Linked DNA regions of Macaca fascicularis. The protein of the gene in region 1 interacts with the protein of each later gene in a biochemical or structural test. Links are inferred from orthologs where the notes say so. Each region holds a gene or a part of one and is shown in the gene's direction. Other genes may lie near its edges. The genes, in order: RAD18, HLTF, UBE2A and PCNA.

The links.
Region 2: the proteins of RAD18 (region 1) and HLTF form a complex in vitro, tested with the Homo sapiens proteins (2 studies listed by BioGRID). The link is inferred for Macaca fascicularis from reciprocal best matches to the Homo sapiens genes RAD18 and HLTF.
Region 3: the proteins of RAD18 (region 1) and UBE2A form a complex in vitro, tested with the Homo sapiens proteins (12 studies listed by BioGRID, with this or other methods). The link is inferred for Macaca fascicularis from reciprocal best matches to the Homo sapiens genes RAD18 and UBE2A.
Region 4: of the proteins of RAD18 (region 1) and PCNA, one has a biochemical effect on the other in vitro, tested with the Homo sapiens proteins (21 studies listed by BioGRID, with this or other methods). The link is inferred for Macaca fascicularis from reciprocal best matches to the Homo sapiens genes RAD18 and PCNA.

What each region holds. Positions count from the first base shown.
Region 1 is NC_088376.1:147,158,875-147,166,337, reverse strand, and holds part of RAD18 (E3 ubiquitin-protein ligase RAD18), read left to right. Parts: intron 1-1,303; coding exon 1,304-1,444; intron 1,445-4,770; coding exon 4,771-4,954; intron 4,955-7,463. UniProt on the Homo sapiens protein: E3 ubiquitin-protein ligase involved in postreplication repair of UV-damaged DNA. Postreplication repair functions in gap-filling of a daughter strand on replication of damaged DNA.
Region 2 is NC_088376.1:51,895,344-51,903,570, reverse strand, and holds the start of HLTF (helicase-like transcription factor), read left to right. Parts: upstream 1-2,847; 5' UTR 2,848-3,045; coding exon 3,046-3,065; intron 3,066-4,497; coding exon 4,498-4,705; intron 4,706-8,227. UniProt on the Homo sapiens protein: Has both helicase and E3 ubiquitin ligase activities. Possesses intrinsic ATP-dependent nucleosome-remodeling activity; This activity may be required for transcriptional activation or repression of specific target promoters.
Region 3 is NC_088395.1:125,918,770-125,926,232, forward strand, and holds the end of UBE2A (ubiquitin-conjugating enzyme E2 A), read left to right. Parts: intron 1-2,710; coding exon 2,711-2,800; intron 2,801-3,790; coding exon 3,791-3,879; intron 3,880-4,664; coding exon 4,665-4,793; 3' UTR 4,794-5,956; downstream 5,957-7,463. UniProt on the Homo sapiens protein: E2 ubiquitin-conjugating enzyme that accepts ubiquitin from the ubiquitin-activating enzyme E1 and transfers it to a E3 ubiquitin-protein ligase. In vitro catalyzes 'Lys-11', as well as 'Lys-48'-linked polyubiquitination.
Region 4 is NC_088384.1:82,162,934-82,169,688, forward strand, and holds the end of PCNA (proliferating cell nuclear antigen), read left to right. Parts: intron 1-273; coding exon 274-371; intron 372-462; coding exon 463-530; intron 531-1,796; coding exon 1,797-1,991; intron 1,992-3,863; coding exon 3,864-3,987; intron 3,988-4,068; coding exon 4,069-4,148; 3' UTR 4,149-4,472; downstream 4,473-6,755. Other genes in the region: TMEM230 (transmembrane protein 230), read left to right, coding at 6,400-6,467. UniProt on the Homo sapiens protein: Auxiliary protein of DNA polymerase delta and epsilon, is involved in the control of eukaryotic DNA replication by increasing the polymerase's processibility during elongation of the leading strand.

The sequences.
Region 1 (7,463 bases):
ACATTGTTGATTTTTGTACGAAAACAGTGTCAAATTTTTGTTTTAACTATTTGTAGTATGGTTCTGTCTAAAAATTTTACAGGATTTATGACATTACTTTGGACTGTGGCCTAAGTGTTTAACATTGCTAGATAAGTAAACTGCAACCTCAGCTGCATGGTTCAGAATCACAAATACATGCCCTAAAGTCCATGCAGTAATGATGACTGGCTGCTCTTTATTGAACAAATTGATACATTAATAATGGTGATCTTGAGGTCAGGGTTAATTATATTCAAAGATGTTAAAATGGTAGTAAATAAAGATTCGAGTTAGTATAGTATCCTAAGATAAGGTAGAATTGGTTGGGAGAGGTCTTAGAATCTTAAAGGGGCTCGCTCTACTGGGAAACAGGCCAGAAATGTGAAGAAAAAAAAGAGCTGGAGTGGATATCCTTTGTTATTATGATTCAACTTTCCTAGAGGCTTCTATTTTAGATCCAGTGAATACTCTTAGTACTCTTGTATCTTGGAAGTTAGAATGGTATCATTTGTATATATTTAAGAAAGCGTGCATCTTTCTTGCTCTTATGATTATGTAAAAGCCTCTCTAGAGAATGGAGTTTGGGAAGAAACCTAGAGTAGCAAACTAGGAATATCATGTTTCCATATTTGTATTTGAGGAAGAGAGAAGATAAAAAGAATCTTCCATGACACTGCAGCCCTTTGTATTCTTATGCTTGGTAGCTTTTAAATTTATTGCAAGTGATTCCTATGGATGCTGTTCTTGAGCAGTCTGGTACACCTCTTTTTTTTTTTTCGAGACAGAGTCTTGCTCTGTTGCCCAGTCTGGAGTGCGGTGGTGTGATCTCGGGTCACCACAACCCCTGCCTCCCAGGTTCAAGTGACTCTTGTGCCTCAGCCTCCTAAGTAGCTGGGATTCTAGGCACACAATACCACACCTGGCTAATTTTTTTGTATTTTTAGTAGAGATAGGGTTTCACCATGTTGGTCAGGCTGGTCTCGAGCTCCTGACAAATGGTCCACCTACTTCAGCCTCCCAAAGTGCTGGGATTACAGGCGTGTGATACCACGCTCGGCTAATTTTTTTGTATTTTTAGTAGAGATGGGGTTTCACCTTGTTGGCCACGCTGGTCTTGAACTCCTGACAAGTGATCCATTCACTTCGGGCTCCCAAAGTGCTAGGATTACAGGCGTGAGCCACCACGCCCATCCCTTGTACACCTCTTGGTATTCATTTTGTCAGTTGTAGATGGTTAACTTTCATTGTCCTAGCTTTACTGTGAAGATCTTTTGAATTTCAGGTAAGAAACATAAATGTGAATTTCAGCTTCTGGTGGATCAGGCTAGAAAAGGATACAAGAAAATTGTTGGAATGTCACAAAAAACAGTAACAATAACAAAAGAAGATGAATCTACAGAAAAGCTATCTTCTGTATGCATGGGTAAGAAACTATAATTAAAAACAGACATATGTTGAATTTCATTATTTACTTTTAATATGAAAAGAAAATTAAACCAAGGAAATTTACTTTGGAGTTCCTACTTCTTTGAAATGAGGAAAAGTATTTTTAGACAAACTTCATGTAGCAGTTTGTAAACTAGATTTATTACTGTGCGGAAAATGGTTGGAAGAATGTCCTGAAGAAACAATCTCTTTTTGTCTATCATCCTTTCAGTTAATGACAAATCATAAATTTCTTAGTTATTTAAGCTTGAGGATGTTTTCTAGGTGTAGAATTTATTGGTGGAGATCCTGAGAGATCCTGTAAGAGAGTGAATTATTTTTGTGATAGAACACTGGTGTTTACTTTGGATGAAATGTTCTGCCAAACGGTCTAAAGCTAATATACTGGTAGGCTAATACAGAGCACATTCCTTAACTTTGATCCATTTTAAAATTTGAAATTAATATTTTAATTCTATTGCCTGGGCTTTGGACCAGTGAACAAAAAAGAATCATAATGGGGGAAAGTGTGCAAGAAAATTCCTTATCATGTTTTTCTATACTGTGGCAAAATATATATAATACAATATTTATCTTTTTAACCCTTCATAAATGTATGTCATTGGCATTAAATACATTCACAATATTGTATAACTATCACCAATGTCTATATCCAAAACAATTTCATCATTCCCAGCACAAGCTCTGCACTCATGAAATAGCAACTCTTCCGTCCCCTCTGCCTCATAGCCCTGGTAATAACGGTTCCACCTTTTGTGTCTATGAGTTTGCCCATTCCAGGTACCTCATATAAATGGAATTGTATAATATTTTCTTTGTGTGTTGACTTCTTTCTCTAAGCATAATGCTTTCAGAGTCCATCAGTGTTGTAGCATATTTTAAAATTTCTTATTATGATTAAACAGTATTCTGTAGTATGTATATGCCATATTTTGTTTATCCATTTATCTGTTATGGTTATTTCCACCTTTTGGTAATTATAAATAATGCTGCTATGAGCATTGATGCTCAAATATCTAAGTTTCAGCTTAGAGTGGGATTTCTGATTCATATACTGGTTCTATGTCTAACCTTTTGAGGAATTGTTAAACTTTTCCGTAGTGGCTGCATTATCTTACATTCCCACCAGCAAAGCATAAGGGTTCCAGTTTCTTCACATCCTTATCAACGCTTGTTATTTTCTGATTTTTAAATTTTTTTAAAATTGTAGATGTGAAATGATATGTAATTGTGGTTTTGATTTGCATTTCCCTAGTGACTAATAAACAATTTGTGCATAAGGTGCTGCCTCAGTATGTAACTCATGGTCTTTGAACAAATCGAACTTGTTCATGCAATTGTGAAAGGATATTTCTAGAAACTAGTTTAGCACTTGAGAAAATCTGACTGAATATTTCCCATTAAGAAAACTTTTTTTTATTAGTTGAACCTCTCTTGAATATCATTGATGGCTTGTATGTATTTATGAACATCAGTATTACTCTTTCTGGGGTTCAAAGGTGATTGCTGCTTTTAGATTGCTGTGCATGAATGAGATGTCTGAGAGGGTAAGGAATGTGAGAGAGGTGAAGACAGACACAGACTGACTAAAAAGATGAATTTTGTATAGCATCATACAACCAATATAATTGTTGCTCTTTAGGACAAACATTGAAGTGCTCATGTAAGTGAACAAGTTGCATATTCTCTCAAGTGAAAACTTAGCCTGTTTTTGTTGTGTGTCTCTGGGGAGCTCTGATGTCTGAGCCTCACTCCTGAGGCTCTATTTTGAAGTCCTGCATTCTGAGATCTAAGGGCAGGTAGGAAGGATAACTTATTTTTTATGCCTACAGATTATTGAATGCTGTTTGTCCCCAAGAAGGAATATATTGTCTAGAAGTGTATGTAAGAGTGGAAGAAGTAAGAAAAGAATACAGACAATGTGCAAAAATAAAAGATTGTTTTCAGTTGAATTCCTGTTCCCTGGTTTGCTTTTTTGCATGCGCCTCACTAGTTGAGTAATATAGTCCCTGGGTGAACCGAGTTGACTGGGGGATTGGCTCCTCTTAATGTGATCCTGGTATCTGTTTACAAGAGGAGTTCTTAGAGGTTCAGGATGGTCATCCTGGCTAACTTCTTTTTCTCTTTTCCAGATATACTTTAGAGGGTGCTGTTTTGTTTTGCTAATGATAGTTTATTGATAGCCAGATGACATTAGGAGCATATTTTTAGGAATTATACTCTTGTGAAGTATGCTGTTCTCCCGCTATAACAAAAACTTAGAACTATTTCTGAAAAAAATTTGACTGTGTGAACTTGGCAAGGTTTTTTGAAGAATGTGTTATGTTCTTTCCCCATAAATTCTCTCTGTATAACCAAACCTTGACAATTGTATTTTTATTGTGCTTCGTTGAAGACCACTTGCCTCTACAAGTGCTTGAGGAGTGATGTGTGAAAGCTCTGTTTCTCTGTGAGGAAACACATGAAAGGAGCTCTGTACTATTATTAGCACGTGTAGCTTGCATGCGAAAGTACCTCCTCAGTTCCTGAAAGTTAAGGACAGCACAGATGAAAATCCCAGCAGAGTTTATGATGAGTAGGAGAATCCTGGGCACTAAAGAATCTTTCGCAGATATTCTTCTCGCTCATATTTGTAGAAAATTGGCCATTCCCATATGCCACATTTTTGTAAACACTGCATCCTTCCAGCTTTTTGGGGTCTTTATTTTTATCTGCAATAAGAGACCTTAAAAGCTGAGAATATGACAAAGAATGCATGGAAATGTGATGTATATTGGATCAAATGGAAATATTCCTTATGTCTGATTAGTTGTCCTTTTCCATAGAGAATAATTAGATTCTATTTAACAGGTTTAGAAAAATGTCCAGATAGATTCACTATCATATAGTAGTGACAAATATTGTGGTTGTCTTATTAGTTGAATCTGTAGTCTTTTTTTTTTTTTTGGTTATACATCTTACGTTGGTTTGTCAGTGTTCTCTGATCTATGAAATATGCAAGAATTCCTCAGTGATATGTTAATAGATGCCTCATTAGAATTACAAGATTCTTCCTGCTCCTGGTTTTAAAATAAATTTTATTTTTAAACTAATTAATCTTGGAAAAACATGGGCTGGATAGTATAATTAGGTAGCACCATTGTAGTGTTAATTCTTGCTCTCTGGCTGTCACTAGAGTTCTGGAATCAATGTGACATATTCTTCAACTTTACTAAGTGCATATGGTAGTATTAAGTGTTGCAGAAGTAATAGGCGTACAGAAGTTGTAGATTTTAACGTACTCTTAAATTTATTTTTTCCTAGGACAGGAAGATAATATGACCTCAGTAATAAACCACTTTTCTCAATCAAAGCTGGTAACAAACCACTTTTCTCAATCAAAGCTGGACTCCGCAGAGGAATTGGAACCTGACCGAGAAGAGGATTCTTCTAGCTGTACTGATATTCAAGAAGCTCTTTCTTCACCAGAATCAGATTCATGCAATAGGTAAGAAACATGCAGGAGTTGATTATTTTAAATATCTACCTCATATGCACACATAGATAGTTAGGCAGAAATAATTAGAAAGTAGCTTTGAGGCATGGTATGGTGTGTCACTCTTACATTTCAGTCCCCTTTTACTGCTGGGTCATCTTCACAGTGGTAACAAGGCAGGATTTGGGAAGGAAGTACAGGGATCAGAGGGTGAGTTTGGTATAGGCTTTATATAGCCTTTTTATAGATATAAAAAGGCTCTATAGCCTTTTTATAGATATTTTTCCTACCGTTGGAAAAGAAAGCATGATAGGCAGTGAAATTTTTGTCAAGACAATGAGTGAAGGAGATAAAAACAACTGTATTGGAAAACAGAGATGATCAGAAAGACATGGCACATAGGAGAGTTAAGAAATGAAAAATTTAACTGAGTAAATAGATGGGGAAACTTTAAAAATGAGAAGTTTGGTAATGAGTCATTTTGAAAAGATATTTTAAAAATATATAGGGTTTATTTTACACACACACATGCATGCACACATACCATTTTTTCTGGTCTTTCACTTAATATGTCATAAATGTTAACATTTCTATAGGTTGGCACAAAAGTAATTGAAACCACAGTTAATTTTGCACCAACATAATACCTTATGTTTATAATTGTTGTTTTTAAATGAGTACAGTATTTTGTTATGTCTCTGTACCATAATTTACCAGACCCTTCAGTTTCTGTTAGAGCTCTGCATTTTTTCCAGTGTTCTACTTACGTGCCTGATGCTATGGTAAAGCTCTTCCTTTGTTCCTATTGAATACTTTTTTTTTTTTTTTTTTTTCATTTTTTCGAGATGGAGTTTTGCTCTGTTGCCCAGCCTGGAGTGCAGTGGCGCAATCTCAGCTCACTGCAATCTCTACCTCCCAGGTTCAAGCATTTTTCCTGCCTCAGCTTCCCAAGTGGCTGGGATTACAGGCCTGTGCCACCTCACCTGGCTAATTTTTTTGGTATATTTAGTAGAGATGGGGTTTCACCGTGTTGGCCAGGCTGGTCTCGAACTCCTGACCTCAAGTGATCCACCCACCTCAGCCTCCCAAAGTGCTGGGATTATAGGCGTGAGCCACCATGCCTGGCCACTTTTCTTACATTTATTATTCTGATAGGTAGGCATTGCCTTCCGAATGAATTGTACTGATTTAAAAAATGCTACCAGCAGTATGTCAATATGAGTGTGTCTTGGAAGTTATTTGATCTTTGGTGTTAGTTTATTTAAAAATTAGTAACATTGCTGTAGAATGATAGACTATTTCTAATCTAACTAATGGAATTATTAGTACATTTTTTATTAGTATACCCAGTGACCCTCTGTTTTTGTAGGATACCTGGGAAACAGTTTCAAATTAGTCAGAATGAAGTATTAGGAAGGAGAAATCTTCCCATCTCATTCCAAAGATTTTCAAGATCAAAAAATTATATTTCTAGTTGACTGAGGGTAAAACATAGGGTTGCGTGATTTGTTATCGTAGATCAGGCCATTCCTGCAAGTCCAGTGCAGTATTTGTTTTTAAACACACATGTAGGAATACAGAAAAAAAAAAATCAGAGTCAGGGGAATAAGAGTTAGATTTTAACCATAGTCATTAGATGCTTGAATGTTTTGGAATGCCAGAATGATTTGGGACATTTGAGAATGGCAAAAACTGAAAGGGAAACGTGGGGCAGTCAGATGTCTTTATCTGGTTGTGAGAATATGGGAAGTGGGGCGAGTTTGTTGATGTCCTAGCCTCATTCAGACTTGTTGGCATCACTGAACTATGAGAGGACTATGGGAAAATGTCATTGCTTTTAGGTATACCATGGCCGAGGAACTAGGAGAGCAAGCAGTAGTCTCTGGGTTTAATAAAAAAGGTAAAGGAAATATGGCTGAGGGAAATATGGAGTAAACTTTATTGGGTCAATTTACTAAAATGGGTTAATCCAAAGGCTGATCATTGTAACTCATTACTCACTGAAAGAATTGAAAAGTACTTTCACACTTATCCCCAGTCACATATTGCTCCTGCTGCTACTTCATTAGGGGATTAGCCTTTTCTCATTATTTATCTTCCTACTGACCAAGATTCTGGGTAATATTATAAGTTTTACCATCTTTAATGATTTCCTCTTGATAGGAGTCACATAGGGGTATCCTTATACTACATTGTGAGGTGATCCTTTTGTTAGCAACTGAACGTAAGTACAGTGATGCTAGATTAACTTTTGTTCTCTGTCCATCACAGGGTCTGACATTACACTGTTGCACTCAGCCATTCAGCAAATATGTATTGTGTTCCAGGCACTATTCTAGACACAGCAGTTTATCAGGGATGAAACCATCAAATAATTTTTTAAAATGTAAGCACTTATATTCTACTTCACATTATAATTAGTTGGTAATATATGTACATATTTCTGCATGCACACACACGTACATGGCTCAGTGGAAGTACACACTAATTACATATTTTAACAGTTTTATTGAGATACAAT
Region 2 (8,227 bases), about 95 Mb from region 1:
ATAAAGGTTCTGTGTGTGTGTGTGTGTGTGTGTGTGTGTGTGTGTGTGTGTGGCAGGGGGGTGCAGATGAGAAGTGTGTTTGTGACTGGGAAGTGGCTGACTGGAGAAATTTTGGATTCCTTTCCTTTCCATACCATTCCTACCCAAATTTATCAGTAAACCTTTTGGTTCTCTTGGCTTCATCACTTTCCCTTTCCAAGCCACCACTATCTCTTATCTGAACACAATAATTTCCTATCAGTTGCTTCTATTCTTGTTTCCTGTAATTCTCCACAGGGCTGCCAGCATTTTTAAAAGCCTAAATCAAGTCATCCTCCTGCTTGAAACATTCAATGGCTTTCCATTGCAGTTAAAACACAGTCTTTACTGGAGACTCTTAAGTTCCTGTGTAATCTGGACCTTATCTTCCCCACCATCCTTTTAGTGCCACTTTCCTCCTTACTTACTGGCCAAACCCCACAAGCCACCCTACAGTTCATTTTCCAGTTACAAGTGTTCATTTTTCATATGTACATGTGATGCTGTTATTAGAATAAATCAAGAAAAAACCAAAAAAGTTAATTTTTCAGAAAACATTATCTAGTATAATAGTTCTGAAATTGTAATTGCTGTAACATTTTAATCAAACTAGTACAAATTGTACTTGATCTTTGAAAATAAAACAAAGAATGATTAAGGGAAAGAATGTTCTACTCCTGGTTCTGAGATGTGAAATACTGATAACATAGAGAAAACTGTTGACTTTAAATAGCAAATTTTAGTTCATTTAAAGCACATTCTTTAACCATGGGACAGTCATTATTGATAGATCTTAAGTCTTTTTATTTTTTTGAGACAGAGTCTCACTCTGTTGCTCAGGCTGGAGTGTGGTGGCTTGATCTCGACTCACTACAACCTCTGTCTCCTTGGTTCAAGCGATTTTCCTGCCTCAGCCTCCCACGTAGCTGGGACTACAAGCGTGCGCCACCACCTCTGGCTAATTTTTGTATTTTCTTAGTAGAGTCGGGCCTTCACCATGTTGGCCAGGCTGGTCTCGAACTTCTGACCTCAGGTGATCCACCCAACTCGGCCTCCCAAAGTGCTGGGATTACAGGTGTGAGCCATTGCGCCTGGCCAGTCTTAAGTCTGAAAGAGCTACGTTCTCACATTTGGAATTTTTTCTTTGTCTAGTAAGCCTGACTTTCTTACTCTTACACACAAAACATCAATTTGAGCAATATCTGGCATATTTTCCAAGAATTTATTTAAAATCTGGCATACCAAATGCTGAACTGTATTGCCATTTGCCTCAACACACTTCAAGAAGAACATAAAACAATTAAAATAATTTGAAATGCCATTGTCTTTATCTTCTTCATCAACTTTGGTCAAATGAAATAATATATTGCTTCAAATTCTATTACTCATCGAAGGTTCATGATTACAGATGACTACAGTTTATTTACGATAATGAACAAATGTCTCTCTTGAAAAGCTGACTACCGGCCTGGCACGGCGGCTAACGCCTGAAATCCCAGCACTTTTGAGAGGCCGAGGCGGGCAGATCACCTGAGGTCAGGAGTTCAAGACAGCCTGGACAACATGGTGAAATCCCATCTCTACTAAAAACACAAAAATTAGCTGGGCGTGGTGGCGGGCGCTTGTAATCTCGGCTGCTCGAGAGGCTGAGGCAGGAGAATCGCTTGAACCCGGGAGGTGGAGGCTGCAGTGAGCCAAGATCGCACCATTGCACTCCCGCCTGGGGGACAGAGCGAGACTCCGTCTCAATAAAAAAGAGAAAAAACAGAAAAAGAAAAAAGAAAAGAAAAGCTGACCACCTAGTATTATTGTGTTGACGGGCGTGTAATGTGGACCTCTCTGTGACGGGCAAGTATTCTCTGGCAGTTACACGGCACCGCCTGTGCAGATCGGCGCCATCACCGGCTTCCCGCCCTGTGCGATTAAAAGGCCACCTTCGGGGACAGCAGCCTCCTCTCCATCCCCAACGCGCAGGGACCAGCCCTGATAGGCGTGGGCTGCAGCTGGTCCAAGGCTGACGGTCCCAGGGCTGCATTCTCCTTCCAGTCACCTCAGACTCTGGAAAGCGAGCCGTGGAGGGCCTCAGAGCGCCCCTCTGCAGTTCCTTGGGGAAAACAAGGGTCTCCCCAGCTGGGCTGGAGCAGCCACGTGCCCACTGGGAAAAGGGTCCTGTCCACCATTTCCGGCAAACGCCCCCATAGCTGTGATAAACATGTGATGGCTTTCCTGTACCAAGAAAGGAAAATTTTCCTTAAAAATAACGAAAAGAGGTGGGGAGGGGACTCTAAGTTCCATTTAAGATTTTCCAAACTCGTTGTGTCTCATCCATACGCTGAGGCTTAGCATGAAAATTTGGAGCGAAAGTCCCCAGGGTTCACCACAGGGAATGAAACAAAGTATCTCGCCGGTAGCTCCAGGTCTCGTAAACCGTGGAGCTCCTTCAGTATAACGCCCTATTACGTGCCACATTAGATGAGGAGGAAATAAGAGGAAGGATACGGTAGAGGCTTTAGAATGGGGTTGAGTCTTAGGACTTGTGGGGTAAAGGAAAGTCGTTTCCCTCCGTTTAAGGCAGGGAATCAAACAAAACGCCGGCACCGCAGGCACCGCAGTCGCACTCCTGGGGCCTCGTGGCTTTCCCGCGCGCCCGCCTTGGGGGCGGGGAAGAACCCGGATGGAACCACCCTTGCAGCCGGGACCCCCCGCAGTCTTTGAATGGCAGCGGGGCGGAGTTGCCCTCCCTTCTGTGCTCTGATTGGTTTGGCTCCGCACTCTTCTCTTCGTGATTGGGCTTTCCTAGTGCCAGTCACAGAGCGACGCTGGTCTCCCAGATTGTTGCTAGAAGGAGACAGCGTCGACGTCTGACTAGACTCGCAGCGACTTATCTTTCAGTCGTACGCTCCTTATCCGGCGCTCGGAATTTGTTCCCGGCTTCAGGGCTGCGGGACCTGGAACGAGGCGTATCGAGGCGGCTCGAGAACGATCCAGGGGAGCCGAGGCGCTCCTCTTGTCATCCCACTCAGCGCCATGTCCTGGATGTTCAAGAGGTGAAGGGGGCGGAGGGGGTGGGGCGCTGGGGCTAAGGGCCTGGAGGCGTCCCCAAATGAACCTGACCTTCCCCGCGTTCCTCCACGTTCCCCGGGCGATTTGTGCAGCTGTATTCGTTCTGTTGGTCGCATATGTGGCCGCGGGAGAAATAAATGCATTGTCTTGGCTGGCGAGTAGGGGCTATTAGGGCGAGTCTCGTGTTAGGGACTTGGGAAATCTCTGTCACCGACTGTGGGGGGCCTGGGGCTTAAAGCCTCTCGGCCCATGCGTTATTCAACAAAACATCCATTAGATACCCACTGTGCGGCAGGCATTATGCTCGGTGGAGGGCCGAGTAAGCCAGCCGTTGTCCCCAAGTGGCTCACAGCTTATGTGTATGCACAGACGTGCAGATACGTATTTGCAGAGGAGCTAATAGAGAGAATGCGCCACTTGCAAGGAAAACGCAGCGCAAATAAGCGACTGTTCTTAGGAGAATGGAAACTTTCTGCAATGCTCCAGTAGACTTCCCCTCACTTTTCATTGTCCAAATTGGTTTTTATGGTCATTCCCGAAACAGTTACACGTAACGGGTTTGGGGTAATGCTTAAACCAGCGACGGGAGGCGGGTACGGGTGGCTTGGGGCCAATTTCCCACGGTGGCGTGGCTTAGATACCAGAATAAAGTAAGTGTTCTGCTCGGAGGGAGTTACAGTGATGGATGCTGGATGTATTTTCTGGAAAATTATAAACAACTTCGTATACAATAGTAGTTGTATTTTTGTAAGTCTTTTGTAGCTGAATCCCTATTGAAATTTTGGCATATAATTTTATTTTTTTAATAATTTATATTTTTGAGATGGAGTCTCGCTCTCTCGTCCAGGCTGGAGTGCAGTGGCACAATCTTGGCTCACTGCACCCTCCGCCTCCCGGGTTCAAGAGATTCTCCAGCCTCCCGAGTAGCTGGGATTACAGATGTGCGCCACCACGCCCGGCTAATTTTTGTATTTGTAGTAGAGACAGGGTTTCACCATGTTGGCCAGGTTGGTCTCAAATTCCTGACCTCAGGTGATCCACCTGCCTCTGCCTCCCACAGTGCTGGGATTCCAGGCGTGAGCTACCACATCTGGCCCATAATTGTATTTACAGACATCATATACATTTCAGTTTAGATGATTTTCACTAGGAAAGATATTAGTGAGCTCTGACTAGGCTTTTCATTTTGAATTCCTAGGGGGCAGGTAGAAGAGCCAATATTGAAAACAGGTAAAGTTCCCGGGAAGCCTTCTCCACTCACTGCAATTCCTGCTTTAACGAGAGTAACTAACTATTAATCTTTACTGTGATTCCCATGTAAGATTTCATTTGCTGAAGTAAAGCATGAGAAAACCACTCATATGGTCTTTGGAAGTACTTAAATACTGTTTTTCTTTGCCTTTAAAAAAAAAATAGGGATCCTGTTTGGAAGTACTTGCAGATTGTGCAGTATGGAGTTCATGGAAATTTTCCACGCCTCTCATATCCAACTTTCTTTCCACGTTTTGAGTTCCAAGATGTTATCCCTCCAGATGACTTCCTAACTAGTGATGAAGAACTAGATTCCGTTTTATTTGGAAGTTTGAGAGGTCATGTGGTTGGACTACGCTATTACACGGGAGTAGTGAGTATAATAGTAGATAACTAAATTAAATTTTGATTATATTTGTGGCGTTAATCTAGAAAATAAGAGAATTAGCAGGTGATGTGTACGGTTCATCTTTATTTTACTTTAAGTTAATGAAATATTTGTACCCCAAAAATAAAAAATACCTCAAGTGACCCTCCCACCTCAGCCTCCCAGAGTGTTGGGATTACAGGAGTGAGCCACTATGCTTGGTCTCAGTGCGTTATGTTTAGTTATTATGGGTAACACCCCGCCCCCACACCCCAGTGCCTTGTTCATGTCATCGATTTGTTGCAAAAAGGAGGTAGTTTTGTGAAATCTTCTGGATTTTATTCTTTCATTTCTCCGTATGTTTCTTACTTTTAAGCTTCTTAAATCTTTTTTATTTTTGGGTGTCTGAAGCATGTTCAGCAGGAGATTCCTTGGGAGTTTCATGTTCTGGATTTGTTTTTCTCCTATATTTCCTTTACATTGGAACTTTACAAGTTGTTTTTTGATTGTCTGAAATGTGTTGTCTAGGAGATTCCTTAGGGAGAAACAGTATTTCCTAAGTTTTTGTCATAATTGTGGCATTTTATGAATGACAGTTTCATAAAATGAAAGTTGTGAAGGACTTAATGACAGTTGGGCTGAATTTAAAATCTTTGTAATATATAGTTTCTCTCCATATCCTAATGTTGTATAGAATTTTCAGGCCAGTGTGATTTTCTCTTTCACTTAAGAGAATTGGATTTTTTTTTTTTCCCTTTTTTTTTTGAGACCAAGTTTCGTTTTGTTGCCCAGGCTGGAGTGCAGTGGCCTGATCTGGCCTCACGGCAATCTCTGCCTCTCAGACTCAAGCAATTCTCCCACTTCAGCCTCCCGAGTAGCTGGGACTGCAGGTGTTTGCCACCATACCCAGCTAGTTTTTGTATTTTTTTTTGTATTTTTTTGTAGGTTTTGGTATGTTGTCCAGGCTGATCTGGAACTCCTGGGCTCAAGTGATCCGCCCACCTTGGCCTCCCCACGCGCTGAGATTCTGTGCCCAGCCTCTAGTTTTTTCTAATAGATTCTTGAAATCTATCAGTTCTTATTTCGTATCTATGTATTCTCTAGCTCTCATATGCATTTCTGAGCTTTTCTGTTTCAGATTTGTGCTAATTTTTCAAAACTTACATTGTTTTCAATAATTATTTTATACCACCATGAAATACTAGATTATGGTAGTTATTGATCTTAGAACAATCAGTATTTTGGATCTGAGAATAATCTCTGTGACCTCGGTAAGCTAGTGTGTGTTGAAAAAATGTAATCATCAGTTTTCTTCTTTTGCCAAATATATATATTTTAAATTTTATTTTTTCCAGGAACACTGTGTTGAGATATCATTTATTTTATAGTTAATACATGTTCTTTTTTTTTTTTTTCCTGAGACAGAATCTTGCTTGTGTTGCCCAGGCTGGAGTGTAGTGGTGCAGTCTTGGCTCACTGCAACCTCTGCCTCTCAGGTTCAAGCGGTTCTTCTGCAACAGCCTCCTAAGTAGCTGGGATTACAGGCATGCGCCATCACGCCCAGCTAACTTTTTGTATTTAGGAGAGATGAGGTTTTGCCATGTTGGTCAGGCTGGTCTTGAACTCCTGACCTCAGGTGATCCACTCACCTTGGCCTTCCAAAGTGCTGGGATTACAGGCATGAGCCATCGCGCCCAGCCGTGTTCATTATTTTTAAATGGCTAAAAAAGCATTAAATCTTCTAAAGTGTATCATTCAGAACCGTAACTTATCTTCTACACTTGTGTTGAGTATATGCATGTAAATTGGAATCATATTACATATTAATAAAAATAAGATCATATTATCCCTAATGTGATTAGGAATATCATCTATATTGGACTTATAATTTCCTTATTGATGGACATTTTTGAGTTAATCACTATTATAAAAAAGTAATAAAAATTGAGGTACTATCTTTGCATACTTGTTATTTTAAGTTTTGTCTTCTTTATTGAGATGTGGTTTACATATGATAAAATGTACATATTTTAAGTGTATGATCCTAGTGTTTTGACAAAGATGTATACCTGATAACTATTACCCCAATCAAGATACAGATTGTATCCATCTCCCTGAAAGTATCTTGTATCCTATTACAATCATTTTTCCCTGCTCCTGCCCTAGGCAACTGCAAGTCTGATTTCTATCGCTATAGATAAGTTTTGCCTATTCTAGAACTTCACGTACATTGAATTATACAATATGTACTATTTTAAGTCTGGCATTTTTCACTCAGCGTAATTTAAGTACTTCTTTGGTCAATTTTGGTTATTTATATTTTTGAAGAAAAGCATCCATTTTATTTAGATAGTGGAACTTATTCCCATAGAATTGTGCATAGTAATCATGTATCCTTATAAAATTGTAACTCAGATTTTCTGGAATTGGGATTTGGTGGTGTGACAAACTTGTGATGCTCACAAGTGACCAGAACTCCTATTCCTGAAGGATTTTGAGATCAAGGAACACGTATTTAAACTCCCGTTTATGCCTTGGTTCTAGTTCCTCTTTCCGAGTTGAATAACCATTTTTTTGGTGGTTTTAAGTTGGTGCTCTGAACCTTAATTTCAGTACTCTTAACAATGAATTGTCAAATTTTGATAAAATGTGCCATTTTTTAAATGTCTGCCAGAACACAATTTTATATGCCTTATTGGCTCCATTAAACTTTTTAAAAACTTTAAAAAAAAGGTGGTTGTGTTCCTGTTTTTATTCTTTGCATTATACATTTGTGTCTTTTTTATTGATTAACTGTGACATCATTTCAAGACAGCCTCTTGTAGATTTTTCTTAATGATTATGTTTCTTGGCTTAATAATTACTCTCTTACATTCGGTTTTTCTACTTAGGTTCATTTTCTTTTTTTTTTCTGTTGGACTTGCAATTTGAACCTTAATTTGAGTCATTTAATCTTTTAATCTTTAAACGTGTAAGTATTGCATTGCCTTTAGGCACCAAGATTTGTTATATAGTATCATTCTTTATTTTTAACTCTGGTGTTTTTTTATTCTTATTTTTATTTTTTCTTTGTTTTGTTGTTTTTTTTTTTTAAGTGTGTTTTCAATAAGTGTATGGTTAAATTTTTTATTTTTTGACCCATCAATGGCTTTATTTTATAATAAGGTGATTTATTTCTTTTTCTATTTTAAAATACAGTTATGTGTTGGTTAACAATGAAGATACTTTCTGAGAAATGTGTTAGATGATTTCTTTGTGGGAAGTAGAGTGAATAAGATGTTACTTTACTGAATACTGTGGGCAATTGTAACACATTTGTGTATTTAAGCATATATAACATGAAAAAAGTACAGTAAAAATATTGTATAAAAGATAAAAAATGGTACACTTCTATAGTGAAGCCCCATTATAATCTGCTATTGCATAATGTATGTGGTCTGTCATTGCTGAAATGTTGTTATGCAGGGTATGAGTATACTGTTATGATTAATTCTCATTCCTTTTGTGATTCTTTGTGTGTTTTTTATA
Region 3 (7,463 bases), on another chromosome or scaffold:
TTCACTTCTCAAGATATTAAGTGAACTGTTTTAAAAGACTTGTGATTAACTTCTTTGGTAGCTAGGTAATCACCTAGTTGAACTTCTGGGCAAGTGTATGCAGAAAGCTCAAGTCAAGGAACTTGTGAGCCACCAACATAGGTACTCAACTTGCTTTGCACTGTGAGTGTTTGATGTAGACCTAAAAGTACTGTTTAATATCTGAATGCCTTCATTGTATATTTCTTACTGATAGTTAAGTTCTGATTTTTGGGTTTTGCCTCTTTCAGCTGAGTCTAGAGATGTGAAACTTTAGAATTATTATAGCAAAAATAGTTGCTCATGGTTTTGGAGCACTTAACTTTGTGGCACTATGCATATTTCTCTCATTTAAACCTCACAACAATGCTGTGTGGTGGGTACTATTATTAATCTCATTTTACAAATGAGGAACTTAAGGTTTAGTCAAGGAGCACACCTTCCCCGAAGTCTCACAGCTAGTAAGTACCAAAGCAAGGACTTGGGCCCAGACCTGTCTGACTGCAGAGCTCACGCTCTTAGCCAGTATGTTGTACTGTTTTTGCTTATGGCTTCCCTGTGTCTTGCTTTACTACCTTTAGATATCATATTTAGTGATGGCTTTAAAGTAGCTGGGATGTCCATGTGCTATTACATCTTCCCAGTTTTAGAGCAGCGTCTCTTACTCATAATTTGGTCAGATTGCAACATCGATCCAAGTGTGTTTACACTTGAGATCATAATACATAAGGAAACTCAAAGTTTGGAACTCTAACACGTTCCCGCTTTTTCTTGCATATTATAATGTCAATAAATACTGAAAAGGAAGAACTGTGCTTTCTTCCTCAGAAAGAGGACGATTTATGACCAGGTGGTGATAAAGGTGAAGTATATTCTGATGGACATACTTCCATACTTCTAAAGGGCATATGTTTGTCCATTCCATAAGATTTTACTTTCTTTCCTTAGTTATAATACATAGTATCTTCAGGTCTGGCTTTGAAAAGAAAATAGGGAGTAACAATAGTTTGAGGAATATAATGTCTCTATATGTTGCATTTTATATTACTATGAAGCTTTGAGACACTTGTTCATACTAAGGGCAGCTTTGTTAGCAAATCGTTTCCAATGAGCTTGCTAAAAACAAACTTTTTGATATTGCTTTGTCACGGATCTAGTCCTAGAATGATTATAGTCTTCTCTCTTTTTCTTAAGCAGTGATAAACCTTTTAATGAGAACAAAAAGGAAATAAATTGCTAACTCTGAAGGAACCAGTAAGAAATACACCGAAGTGTGGTCTGTTGTTTTAGAATAATTTGTTAAATGGACCAGAGTAATACAGTGGAACATGCATCACCTTATACCATATAGTAACTGATTCTTTTAAGTTTACTTGAACAGATTTCAGTCAGGAAAAAACATTGCTCAATTGTTTTCTTGAATTTATTCAACAAACAATTGAAAATAATATATATATATATATATATATTTTTTTTTTTTTTTTTTTTTTTTGAGACGGAGTCTCGCTCTGTGGCCGGGGCTGGAGCGCAGTGGCCGGATCTCAGCTCACTGCAAGCTCCGCCTCCCGGGTTTACGCCATTCTCCTGCCTCAGCCTCCTGTGTAGCTGGGACTACAGGCGCCCGCCACCTCGCCCGGCTAGTTTTTTGTATTTTTTTAGTAGAGACGGGGTTTCACCGTGTTCGCCAGGATGGTCTCGATCTCCTGACCTCGTGATCCGCCCGTCTCGGCCTCCCAAAGTGCTGGGATTACAGGCTTGAGCCACCGCGCCCGGCCTGAAAATAATATTTTAAAGGACATAATCTCCTCAGATCACATCTTAAAATTCTTGAATGAGATCCAGTTTGTCCATGCCTTGTAAGTAAGTTTATAACCTACTATGCTTTAGGGCCTCCTGCTACCTTAGGTTGACATATATTTAAGAAAAATAATTTCATTTCCATAGTAGTGTAAACAAACATTAGAAAAATAAATTTGCTGGAAACGTGAATGCAATTTAAACAAAATATGATTTTAAAATTATTTCTGCCATTAATTCCTTCCATATGTGTGAATAATTGAGTTGATTTTATAGTGAAGTACCTTATGAGCCATACTTAAGGGTTTCTGAGAAGGACTATGAAGTTTTTCCTGGCTTAAATTCAATTAAGTTTTCATTATAGGATCACTATGACATGAAAAGGAACCAGAGTGAACACTTTTATACTTACTCTCTTCTATTTTAAAAATAGCTTGATTATGGATTTGTATTCTGGCATTGGTTTTTGAACCTTTGTGCCTTCATTCTTTCCAGTCTGTTTAAAAATCACTGGATAGTTGAAGATGGCAGCTGACTAAAATAGGCCTTTGAGGTCTTTTGGTCTTCTAAAGGAGGAAGGCCAAATTTTGGGCCCAGTTTCTTATTTTAAGGATGTTTTCAAAATGTACAGTGGCTAAAGTTATCTTGTATGCAGTAATTTTGTGTTTATGATGGCTGTCTTCAAGTTTGGGGGAAAATAATGGCAAAACAAAAAATCACATTTGAGTAGTTCTTAGAGCAATTCCTAGAGATGTATTTCTTACCTGGCCTCTCCTCTCTACCCTGTATCTTTGCATTATTTAATACTTGGAAAAACCCACATAGCATTAAAAACAAAGTACAACTGAACAAAGTGATAAATACATTTTCTTAAATCTTTCTTTTCTAACTACAGGAACATTTAAACTTACAATAGAATTCACTGAAGAATATCCAAATAAACCACCTACAGTTAGATTTGTCTCTAAGATGTTCCATCCAAATGGCAAGTATCACTTTTAGTACAGTGTTTTAAACTACTATAGTGTTTATTATGGAGTATTCCACATTTCCTGTGTATTTTGTGGTGCCTGAGTATTTGTTTAGGCAGCTTGCTGCTTCCTGAAAGCTGAACTTGTTCTTGGTTTTCTGTGGCTGTCTTGTCCTAGAACTGAAGCAGTGGAGTTATTTTCCCTTTGCTTGGAGTCTGGGAGCCTCCTGATTTTGATGATCTTTGTCATTTACTTATTAAACAAAACGAAGGATGCTCTTGAGGTTTCCTTTTAATGCTAGGCCAGATTGGGATAGTCTTGTGTTGTAATTATTTTCATTAGCGTTTAGAAAAGTAGTTTTCATTGGATGCATATCAGAATTACTGTGGAACATTTTAAAAATGCAGATGCCTTCGCCTCACTCCAAACCTACTGAATAGGATTCTGTTGTTGAGGGCCAGGCATACGGTATGTCAGAAAAGCACCACAGGTGATTCTAACTTACCGCTTTGCACTTTTTAAAATAGTAGTAAGCCTAGAACAGCTTGCCTTTTATTTAGGTTAATGAAGTATTTTTCAGGGTATCAGATATTTTTATCTTTTTGTCAAAATGAAATCTTGTGAACTCTGAGCGATCTTTTGTTATTTCAGATAGGCGATACAGCCTACAAATTTGGTGGAATGAATTTCCCACATGTCTGGGGATAGCTAGGGACCCTGTTCAAAAATGTTTGATTTCCTGGATAATAGGGCAGTCTTTTCCAAAGGATGAACACTAAGTATCTTCCAGTTTTATGCTGATCACATCTGACATTCTCTGATCATCCTGATTATTTCACTAGTGGTGGTTATGACTCATCTTTTTAGGCAGTTAACTGGGAAGCAACCTAGGAATCTTTTTAAAACTTCAAAAGCAAAGTATTCTTGACTATTTTTGTTTTGTCTATAATGTTAAAACCTTAGTGGTCTTGTTACGTTTAATGTACCTACTTCTTTGTTCTTAGTCTATGCAGATGGTAGTATATGTCTGGACATACTTCAGAACCGTTGGAGTCCAACCTATGATGTGTCTTCCATTCTAACATCCATACAGGTGAATTTTTCCTTAATGTGACGAACTATAACTTTTAATATGTTTATATTAGCAATTGAATTGTTTTTGAAAGTCATAATGTAATAGACCTTTTTATTTTTGGTCAAAGCTTGTTTGTTTTATAGATGAAAAGTAGACCATTAAGACCCAAGTCAGCTGGGTGCAGTCGCTCACACCTGTAACCTCAGCACTTAGGCAGGCCAAGGTGGGAGGATTGCTTGAGCTCAGGAGTTTGAGACCAGCCTGGGCAACATAGTGAGACCCCATCTCTCTTTTAAAAAAAAAAAAAAAAAAAAAAGACCCAAGCCACATGTGTTTTCCTAGCTACTAGCAGATTCATGTAACTCTGGGTTTGCGTGCTAAAGACAAGAAATGTGGCCGGGCGCGGTGGCTCAAGCCTGTAATCCCAGCACTTTGGGAGGCCGAGACGGGCGGATCACGAGGTCAGGAGATCGAGACCATCCTGGCTAATACGGTGAAACCCCGTCTCTACTAAAAAATACAAAAAATTAGCCGGGCGCGGTGGTGGGCGCCTGTAGTCCCAGCTACTCGGGAGGCTGAGGCAGGAGAATGGCATAAACCCGGGAGGCGGAGCTTGCAATGAGCTGAGATCCGGCCACTGCACTCCAGCCTGGGTGACAGAGCAAGACTCCGTCTCAAAAAAAAAAAAAAAAAAAAAAAAAAAGAAATGTAGCTGTACTTAGGACAATTCAATTGAGTGTCACTACCTTATAAAATAGCTGTTTTGCATTAAGTAACTGACATTTTAAAAATTGTCTCTTTAGTCTCTATTGGATGAACCCAATCCCAATAGTCCAGCAAACAGCCAGGCTGCTCAGCTGTACCAGGAGAACAAACGGGAATATGAAAAGCGTGTTTCTGCAATAGTAGAACAAAGCTGGCGTGATTGTTGACCCCGGGTACAGTTTAAAGAAGAAGCTGGCCATAAGAAAAATATATATTGATGTGTTTGTCACTCCCTACTCCTGTCATTACATTTACTTTATTAAAAGCAAAATAGCTGTTGTGCTGTTTCCATCTTCCTTGCCAAGTTTTCCTACCCCTTCTACCCTCTCCTTAAACATCAGAAAACACCCTCTATGAAATCAAATGTACTGTACCTGGGTTACTTGCAAAAATTACTAATGCTTCAGTTTTTCTGTTGTATTTCATTTCCAGTTTTCAAGCAGTTATTTTTATTACTGTACTTTAAGCTTTTAAGATGAATTGTTATACAAGAGGTGCTTATGCTTAGCTTGATGACCAGGATGTTATTTTTAATGAAATGATTGCTGAGTGTTTCATCCTGGCTGGTCCTTCACTTGTGTTGGATTTAGAAGTGAATGTGTTTGGAATATGGCCTACAGAGAATAGAAACAAATCCATGTAAACAATTTTGAAAGAGGAATGGGAGCTAAAAATCCTGTGATACTAAGATCTCAGTCATATGAATTACAAGATAGTATTTACTGGCAAGGAGAATGTTGAAGGACTCAGCTAAAGGAGTACAGCAATTGTAGTAACTGACACATCCTCTCTTTGCAAGCTACTGACAGGGCACACTCATGCTAAGTTTCAGAATATTGGTCTTCTGGGTTTTTGCTTTTTAAAAGAGGTGTGGGAGCAGAGGAATGGAAACATGCATGAGTTTTTGAGCTAGGGAAAGTTGGAGATACTTTAATCTTTTTAAAGGATCAGTGCTGCCCTAGATGAATAAACTCAATTGTCCATCTTTATTTTAGAGTTTTAATGAATTCAAGGAAGGGAACACAGCATATCTGTGGCCAACTGTTTTCCACTCAAATCCTGAGTTATTGCTGCATGCTTTAATTTCTTCCCTTTCAGCATCTGAGAACCTTAAAGCCAACGTCTGCAATCTGTTTTTCGATATTTATACTTTTAGATATATAGTACCTTTAAGTAGCAGTATGGGACAAGGCTTGTAAATGTTTTGTCTAATGTTCTATTGTCACCTTTTATGCATTTATCACTTCCAAATCTAACTTTGCACAAGTAACCCATGTAAAAAAAATGTACATTTTTCAAAGTTGTAAATAAAAATAACCTTAAAATTTCATAGTCAAGGTATCATTGTTTTTTTCTGGTTTGTTTGTTTTGGTTTGGTTTTTTTAGCTCAGTATAAACTTTTTGTATTGGTTTCTTATTGGGATCTCATATCTACTCATTTCCCCCCTCAAACATTAAGGTAAAAGCAAAAATACTCATTCTGGGAATGGAAAAGAAAAGACAGATACTTCTGGAGAGAACCTTTTTTTTTCTTTCCAGTCATAAGTGGTAATGCTTTTTAAACATTAACAATACAGAGCTGGGCGCAGTGGTTCATGCCGGTAATCCCAACACTTTGGGAGGCCGAGGCGGGCAGATCACGAGGTCAGAAGATCAAGACCATCCTGGCTAACACGGTGAAACCCTGTCTCTACTAAAAATACAAAAAAATTAGCCAGGCGTGGTGGCACGCCCCTGTAGTCCCAGCTGCTTGGGAGGCTGAGGGCAGGAGAATCGCTTGAACCCGGGAGGCGGAGGTTGCAGTGAGGCAAGATTGTGCTACTGCACTCCAGCCTGGTGACAGAACGAGACGCACCCTCAGAGACCAAGATCTAACTTGTTGATCCTGACATTCCACCTCTTTAAAAGCCCTAGCTCAAAAAAAACAGTACCAAACTACTAGATTTTTTTTTTTTTGAGATGGAATCTAGCTCTGTCGTCCAGACTGGAGTACAGTGGTGCAATTTTGGCTCACTGCCACCTCTGCCTCCGGGGTTCAAGTGATTCTCCTGCCTCAGCCTCCCGAGTAGCTGGGATTACAGGTGCCCGCCACCACGCCCAGCTGATTTTTGTATTTTTAGTAGAGATGGGGTTTCACTGTGTTGGCCAGGCTGGTCTTGAACTCCTGACCTCATGATCCACCTGCCTCAGCCTCCCAAAGTGCTGGGATTACAAGTGTGAGCCACCGCGCCCAGTCTAGATGGTATTTTAAATCCTATGTAAAATTTGGGAGTACAGATATCCTCAATCACTTTGATTAAACAAAACTCTGCTTTCTTCTGAGGAGCAACCCATCTCATTTTAAAGAGGCAAGGACAATGACTGTAAAAACTACCACCTCTTCGTACTTGTTTGGTTGGGTGGATGGTGCTAAATGAAGTTAAGTCCTTAGGATGCATGTATCCCATTCATCTTTTAAGACATGGTACTTGAAGCCTCAGTATGGAGAAGTACAATCTGCACTAATTACCACATTACTTGGATTGTTTCACCTAGGAGCAATGTCCTTCAATTTGCTTAATATTTTCCCTCAAGTCCATTTCTGCTTCAAAGTAGAACCACATTAAATTTTTCTATTTGGTGGATTAGTTTTGCATTAACTTTTTCATCCTGCTATGTGGCTGAGTGCTTTAAATATTGACACTGTTAATCATACCTGAAAAAATGTAAGGCGAGACTCAGAATGGTCAGGTTTAATAACTTTTTTCTTTTGTACACCTCCTGAGAAACACTATACCCAATCTCTTTCATAGGATAATCCGTTTAAAACCTTACAACAGAGCCAACAAGCTGACCTC
Region 4 (6,755 bases), on another chromosome or scaffold:
CCTTGCGAGAAAAGTGTCAGCCTGTCATCCTACTTAGTGGCAGGAGATTGTTTCTATCCAGAAGGGAAACTGCTGGTGGTATTTTAGTATAAATACTGCCAGATGCATCCCAAAATGTCTGCATTAATATTCGCATCCTCCAGCAGTGCAATTACCCTCCACCAGTTCTGAGACGGCCTATGGGTGAGAGTGGTAACCCCTTCTAACTGCATTAGAAATACAGACCTTCAGTAGATGGTGTTGATTTTAAACCATGTGTCTCCTGTCTTCTAGTATGTCCAAAATACTAAAATGCGCCGGCAATGAAGATATCATTACACTAAGGGCTGAAGATAATGCGGATACCTTGGCGCTAGTATTTGAAGCACCCAGTAAGTCGTACCTTTTTACTGAGTTATGAAGCTACAGAAGATCGAAACTCTGTGCCAGTGTTTCTCAACAGCATTTGCTTTTTTTTGGTAGACCAGGAGAAAGTTTCAGACTATGAAATGAAGTTGATGGATTTGGATGTTGAACAACTTGGAATTCCAGTGAGTATCAGTTTCTGATTGTAGCGACTGCTGTACACAGGCATGATAGTTATGTCATAGAATGTTGTTTATTTTTACAGACAGGGTCTTCCTCTTTTCCCCAGGCTGGAGTGCAGTGGTGCCATATAGCTCACTGTAACCTGGGACTCCTGGGCTCAAGCAATCCACTTAGTCTCCTAAGTGGCTAGGAAGGACTACAGATCTGTCCCACCACGCCTGGCTAATTTTTTTATTTTTGTGTGTGGGTGTGGGGGCAGTCTTGCCCAGGCTGGTCTGGAACTCCTGGCCTCAATGATCCTCCTCCGTCAAGATAAGTTAATATAATTTAAGCCTACTTCATAACAGAACTTTTTCTAGAAACATATCTACTGGTGCATGTTTTAAAGAGATTTTAGTATTTGGATAGTTGTTTACCACAAGTCTAAAACTCACTGGTTAAATTTATTGTTTACTGCCAGTTGTCTATTTGCATTAATTTCCATGAACCTCTTTTAAAATTTGCTTCCTTCTAGGATGGTTGGTTTTGTTTTGTTTTGTTTTGTTTTTGAGGCGGAGTATCGCTCTGTCGCCCAGGCTGGAGTGCTGTGGCCAGATCTCAGCTCACTGCAAGCTCCGCCACCCAGGTTTACGCCATTCTCCTGCCTCAGCTTCCCGAGTAGCTGGGACTACAGGCGCCCACCACCTCGCCCGGCTAGTTTTTTTTTTTTTTTTTTTTTTTGTATTTTTTAGTAGAGACGGGGTTTCACCAGGTTAGCCAGGATGGTCTCGATCTCCTGACCTTGTGATCCGCCTGTCTCGGCCTTCCAAAGTGCTGGGATTACAGGCTTGAGCCACCGCGCCCGGCCCGATGCTTGGTTTTTATTAAGTGGGTTTGAAAGCTATCTTAGAAGAAATGTATCCAGGTTAGGTTTATAAACACCAAAGGAGAGAAGAAATGTTGGAATGTTGAAAATGCCTAATATCATATTCTCTCGTTTTCTTTTAGAAAATAGTTAGACCTGCTTGCGCCGTCATCATTTCTGTGGCATACTCTAATGTTCTCTTACTTTATCCCTGGAGGATGAGGAGGAGGAGGCGCTTGTTCCCTGGGCAGTGCATTTAATAGCCATTTATTTTTTTTGAGTGGAGTTTGTTAAGAAATTACACGAGTCAGTAATCAGAAAATCTTGATTCTGAGTTGTTTAGATGTTGCCTTTTAAGAAAGTGAGGGTGCCAAATCATTAAATTTCTAACAATTAACTTTTGGAAAATTTTTGTTCTTAATAGGAACAAGAGTACAGCTGTGTAGTAAAGATGCCTTCTGGTGAATTTGCACGTATATGCCGAGATCTCAGCCATATTGGAGATGCTGTTGTAATTTCCTGTGCAAAAGACGGCGTGAAATTTTCTGCAAGTGGAGAACTTGGAAATGGAAACATTAAATTGTCACAGACAAGTAATGTCGATAAAGAGGAGGAAGCTGTAAGTAGTTTTTAAGTAAAAAAAATAGTTTGAAGAGAATTGTAATACTGCTTATTAGGTTAATTGCTAAAATTAAAAGTAGACAGAATTGGATCCCAAGTAATTTCTGAAAATTGAGATACTGTTGAAATCTGCAACTGATTTGTAAGTGTCATCCAATTTAGAATTATATTTGCAAGAAGGGAATACAAATTCAGCACGTGTACATACCACAGAACAATGGTTTATGGATCAAGCCCACACAGGCTCTTAAGGGTAGGATTGGGAAGCTAGGCATCTAACCTTTAGCTTTCTGGAGATACTTACTCTTACCAAATAAGCATAGAACAGCAACTCTATAGAAGGGTATGGTTAGGAGTAAAAGTCTACCTGTTAGGAGCACTTATGTAATCCTTATATTAGCGTACATGTTGTGGGTCCAATTGGTAGCCCATTTTAAAGGTGGAGAAGCAGGCTGAGCAATCTTAAGTGACAATTTAGCCAAAGTCACAGGCTGTAGGAATCAAAGGTTAAACAGGAAGACTTCTCACTAAGGCTAGAAAGCAGACTCCGTGCAACTTTGAGAGTACTTAGAGAGCCCTTGCTTAACCAAAATAGAAAAAATTAGCCGGGCATGGTGGTGCACACCTGTAACCCCAGCTACTCGGAAGGCTGAGACAGGAGAATGACTTGAACTGAGGAAGTGGAGGTTGCAGTGAGCCCAGATCATGCCACTCCCCTCCAGCCTGGGTGACAGAGCAAGACTCCATCTTAAAAAAAAAAAAAAAAAAAAAAAAAAAAAACTCGGTAACCTGAGCATAAATTAAAACTTGGTAAATCAAGGACGAAGGTCCTAATCTCATAAGCTTGTTAGGATTAAATATGGTAACATTAAAGAGCTTAGCATATGCTGTGTCTGGCATATTACAAGCTTACAATAAATACTATATATTGCTTTCTTGTCCCTTGAATGGGTAGTCAACATTTAGTTTAAATAAAGTTGTAAAATTCAGTTGGAAGTTGTTTTTTTTTAATTAATAAAGGCTAGGAGCTGATTCTTTATCTGTTTCCTGAATCACATTTCCGCTCCTCTGCTAACCTTATTTTTTTCTTTTTCTGTTTTTCTTTGTTTTTGAGACAGGGTCTTGCTCTGTCCATCCAGGCTGGAGTGCAGTGGTGCAGTCATGGCTCACTACAGCCTCAAACTCCAGGGCTTAAGTTGATCCTCCTGCCTTGGTTTCCCTAGTAGCTGGGACTACAGGTGTGTGCCAACACACCTAGCCTGGTTTCCTCTAATTTCATTATTCCCCTTCCATTACAGTCTATTTGTTGAAGAAATTAGATGATTTGTTAAGTTTTCCAGAGTTTGGATTTTGCTGATTGCATTCCTGTGTATACGTAAATTCTTCCACCCTGTGTCCTACAGACTGGTAGCTATAGCCCTGGAGCCTTGATGATATTCAGGATGTTTTGTTTCGGCCGGGGGTGAGAGAGCACGAATACTTTATAGGTGGTGGTGTGTGCCTCTAGTAGAAGGCACAAGGGGTCTGGACGTCTTCGCAGTGTTAGCAGCTATAATAGTCATTGTCTAGATCCATTAAGTCATTAGAGTTTGCAGAGCTGAAATTAATACGTTTTATTCATTTATTAGCTGCTTATCAGAAGAATTTCCATAAAGAAAAGCTTTCCCATATTATATAATTTGGTTATCTAAATTATAGGAAAGACGAGCTAGATACTCAATTCTTTTGCTTTACGCATCAGTCTTCAAAATTTTCATAGCTCCCTCCAAAGTGACTAATAAAAGTGTTTGTGGGTTTTTATAAATGCAAGCTAATAGATTGCAACTTTCTTGATGTTTTTCAATGATGAATCTTCTGTTTTCTCTTGTAGGTTACCATAGAGATGAATGAACCAGTTCAACTAACTTTTGCACTGAGGTACCTGAACTTCTTTACAAAAGCCACTCCACTCTCTTCAACGGTGACACTCAGTATGTCTGCAGATGTACCCCTTGGTAAGATAATAAATTTGAACCTTGTTTTGTAGGTAGTATATGTGATACTCCTCAGTAATTAACTATCTTCCGGTCTTTCAGTTGTAGAGTATAAAATTGCTGATATGGGACATTTGAAGTACTACTTGGCTCCCAAGATCGAGGATGAAGAAGGATCTTAGGCATTCTTAAAATTCAAGAAAATAAAACTAAGCTCTTTGAGAACTGCTTCTGAGATGCCAGCATATACTGAAGTCTTTTCTGTCACCAAATTTGTACTTTTAAGTACATATGTAGATATTGTTTTCTGTAAATAACCTATTTTTTTCTCTATTCTCTGCAATTTGTTTAAAGAATAAAGTCCAAAGTCAGATCTGGTCTAGTTAACCTAGAAGTATTTTTGTCTCTTCGAAATACATGTGATTTTTATAATACAAGAGGGTCTTGACTCTAAATGCAGTTTTAGAATTGTTTTTGAATTTAAATAAAGTTACTTGAATTTCAAACATCACAGGGCAGTGCCTTCATTTTGACCAGGACTGTTGGAAGTATCCTACTGAATTCCCAGCTACAGCTACCCTTTCATGTAAATGGTTTTTCAGTTTAGAGCAGCCTGATGTAGATCAAAAGGATTTCAAATACAGTAGGTTACTAGATATTTTAGGGGGATTCGCTTGTCAAACTTGTTATTCCAATTTGAGGACGAGGAACAAGTGAGAGTAGTACAAATCCTGTGTATTTCATTTTACTTGGCAAAAGTTAATACTCTTCAGAAGCTTCGTGTACCCAAAGTCTTGTTGGCTTTATAAGGATGTTAATGGAGTGTTTCTTTTTAGCCTAGGGAGTCCTACAAGAGTCTTTGATGTTTCAGTAGATCTGTAATGGGACCCAAGGAGTATGGTTCTGCAAAATTTCTCTATTATAAATACACTTTTTGCAACTTCACTCACATAAAGGATGAAGATGTCTTAAATTCCATGGATGTTGGATCCAACCAAGAAAGTGAAAAAGCCCTGAAGTTACGAAGAAAGACTTAAAAACATTCCCATTAATAGCTGTAAGATAACTGTGCTGTGTATTAATTTTTTGCGTGGTGCAGTGCCTCACACCTGTAATCCCAGCACTTTGGGAGGCAGGCGGATCAACTAAAGTCAGGAGTTTGAGACCAGCCTGGCCAACATGGTGAAACCCCATCTCTACTAAAAATGAAAAAAAAAAAAAACTAGCTAGGCATGGTGGCGCATGCCTGTAGTCCCAGCTACTTGGGAGGCTGAGGCAGGAGAATTGCTTAAACCCGGGAGGTGGAGGTTGCAGTGAGCCGCGATCATGCCACTGCACTCCAGCCTGGGCAAGAGTGAGACTCCATCTCAAAAATACATATATTTTTGGCTGGTTTGATAGTAGTAGGTTATCAGAACTTACATTAGTGTCACTGAAGTAGGTATACAACCCCCGCTGCTAAATTTGGCTTTAGAAAAAGCATTTTTTAAAATTGCTTTATCATAATCTTTTTTTCCAGTACATTTTTGTTTGGTAGATTAAATGACTAGTTTCTTTATTAAATTACTTGGACTGAGTTCTAGTTACTGGACATGAGAATTAACCATGTCCAGTAGTAAGTATTCATTTTCCTACAGTGTGCCTCTGAGTGAAGAAGGAAACAGGCTGCAAAAGAGGCTGATGGAATTTTGGGGTGATGGATGTATTTCCATCTAGATTGGTGATGGTTCTAGGACCATACGTATTTTCAGAGCTCATCTATTTGTACTTGTGTATAAATTATACCTTAATAAACAACTTTCTGAAAAGCTTCATGTGCAGCAAAATGTCCCTTGTGGGCAGGCCTTTTACCTGGACAAGGCCTGAAAATAAGCACAAGTTTGTGGAGCTATTCAAGGGAAGTATAGTGGGGTATTGACAGCACAGTTTACAAGTGTGCTATTCAAGGGAAGTGTGGTAGTGGGGTGTTGAAGGCGAGCGCCCGTGGAAGGCTGGCGCCTTGCAGCGGATATCTGGCCGCACTGACTTCTGGTCCTGAGGCTGCGACGGACTCGGCTTCTGCCTCCCTGGGAAGCCATGGCGCTCTCTAGCCTGGCCCGTTCTAAGGAAGGGAGAAACCACGTAGCTGGCTTGCCCTGGGCCTGACGGTGACCCAGGTGGGCGAGGACCCTAGGTGCTCGCCCGCCACAGTGGAGGTAGCCGGCGGCGGGCACAGGTCGTGGCTGCCTAAACAAAACCCACGAATCGGCATTCGGCCCGTGCAGCCCCGATGCCTCCTGCAGCTGATACTCGGTAAGTGATAGCCTGGGAAGCTGGTTGAGGAAACAAACGCTTCCGGAGACGCAACTTCCGACGCGCCTGTTTCCGGCACGCCACTTCCGGCGCACTGATCCCGGCTGGGGTGGGCTGAGTGGCCCTTAAGCGGGCCGTACCATGCGACCTCGTGCGCTGCCAACCGTGGGCGAGCTCTGGGTGTGCGGGCGGCCTGGCGCGGCGCTCCGGTAAGGCGTGTGTGCGACGGCGCGGGGACAGAACCGTCCTCTTGGGCTCTGGGCGTGTCCGAGACCGCGCTTCCCGCCTAAATCAAGCTCCGAGTCATCCGTGTGGGGCATTCGTCCTCCCTGGCACAGTTTGTTTTACGTCTAAATTCTCGTCGGTTCTTATTTATCTCTCTGGCAAGGTCTGAAGACGGGCAGGAGAATAACGTATGTAGAGACGCGTGATGCCAGGCACTGTGCCAAACGTCTTATGATGCTTTTAGAACTCTCTTAACATTCAGGTGCTGAGGG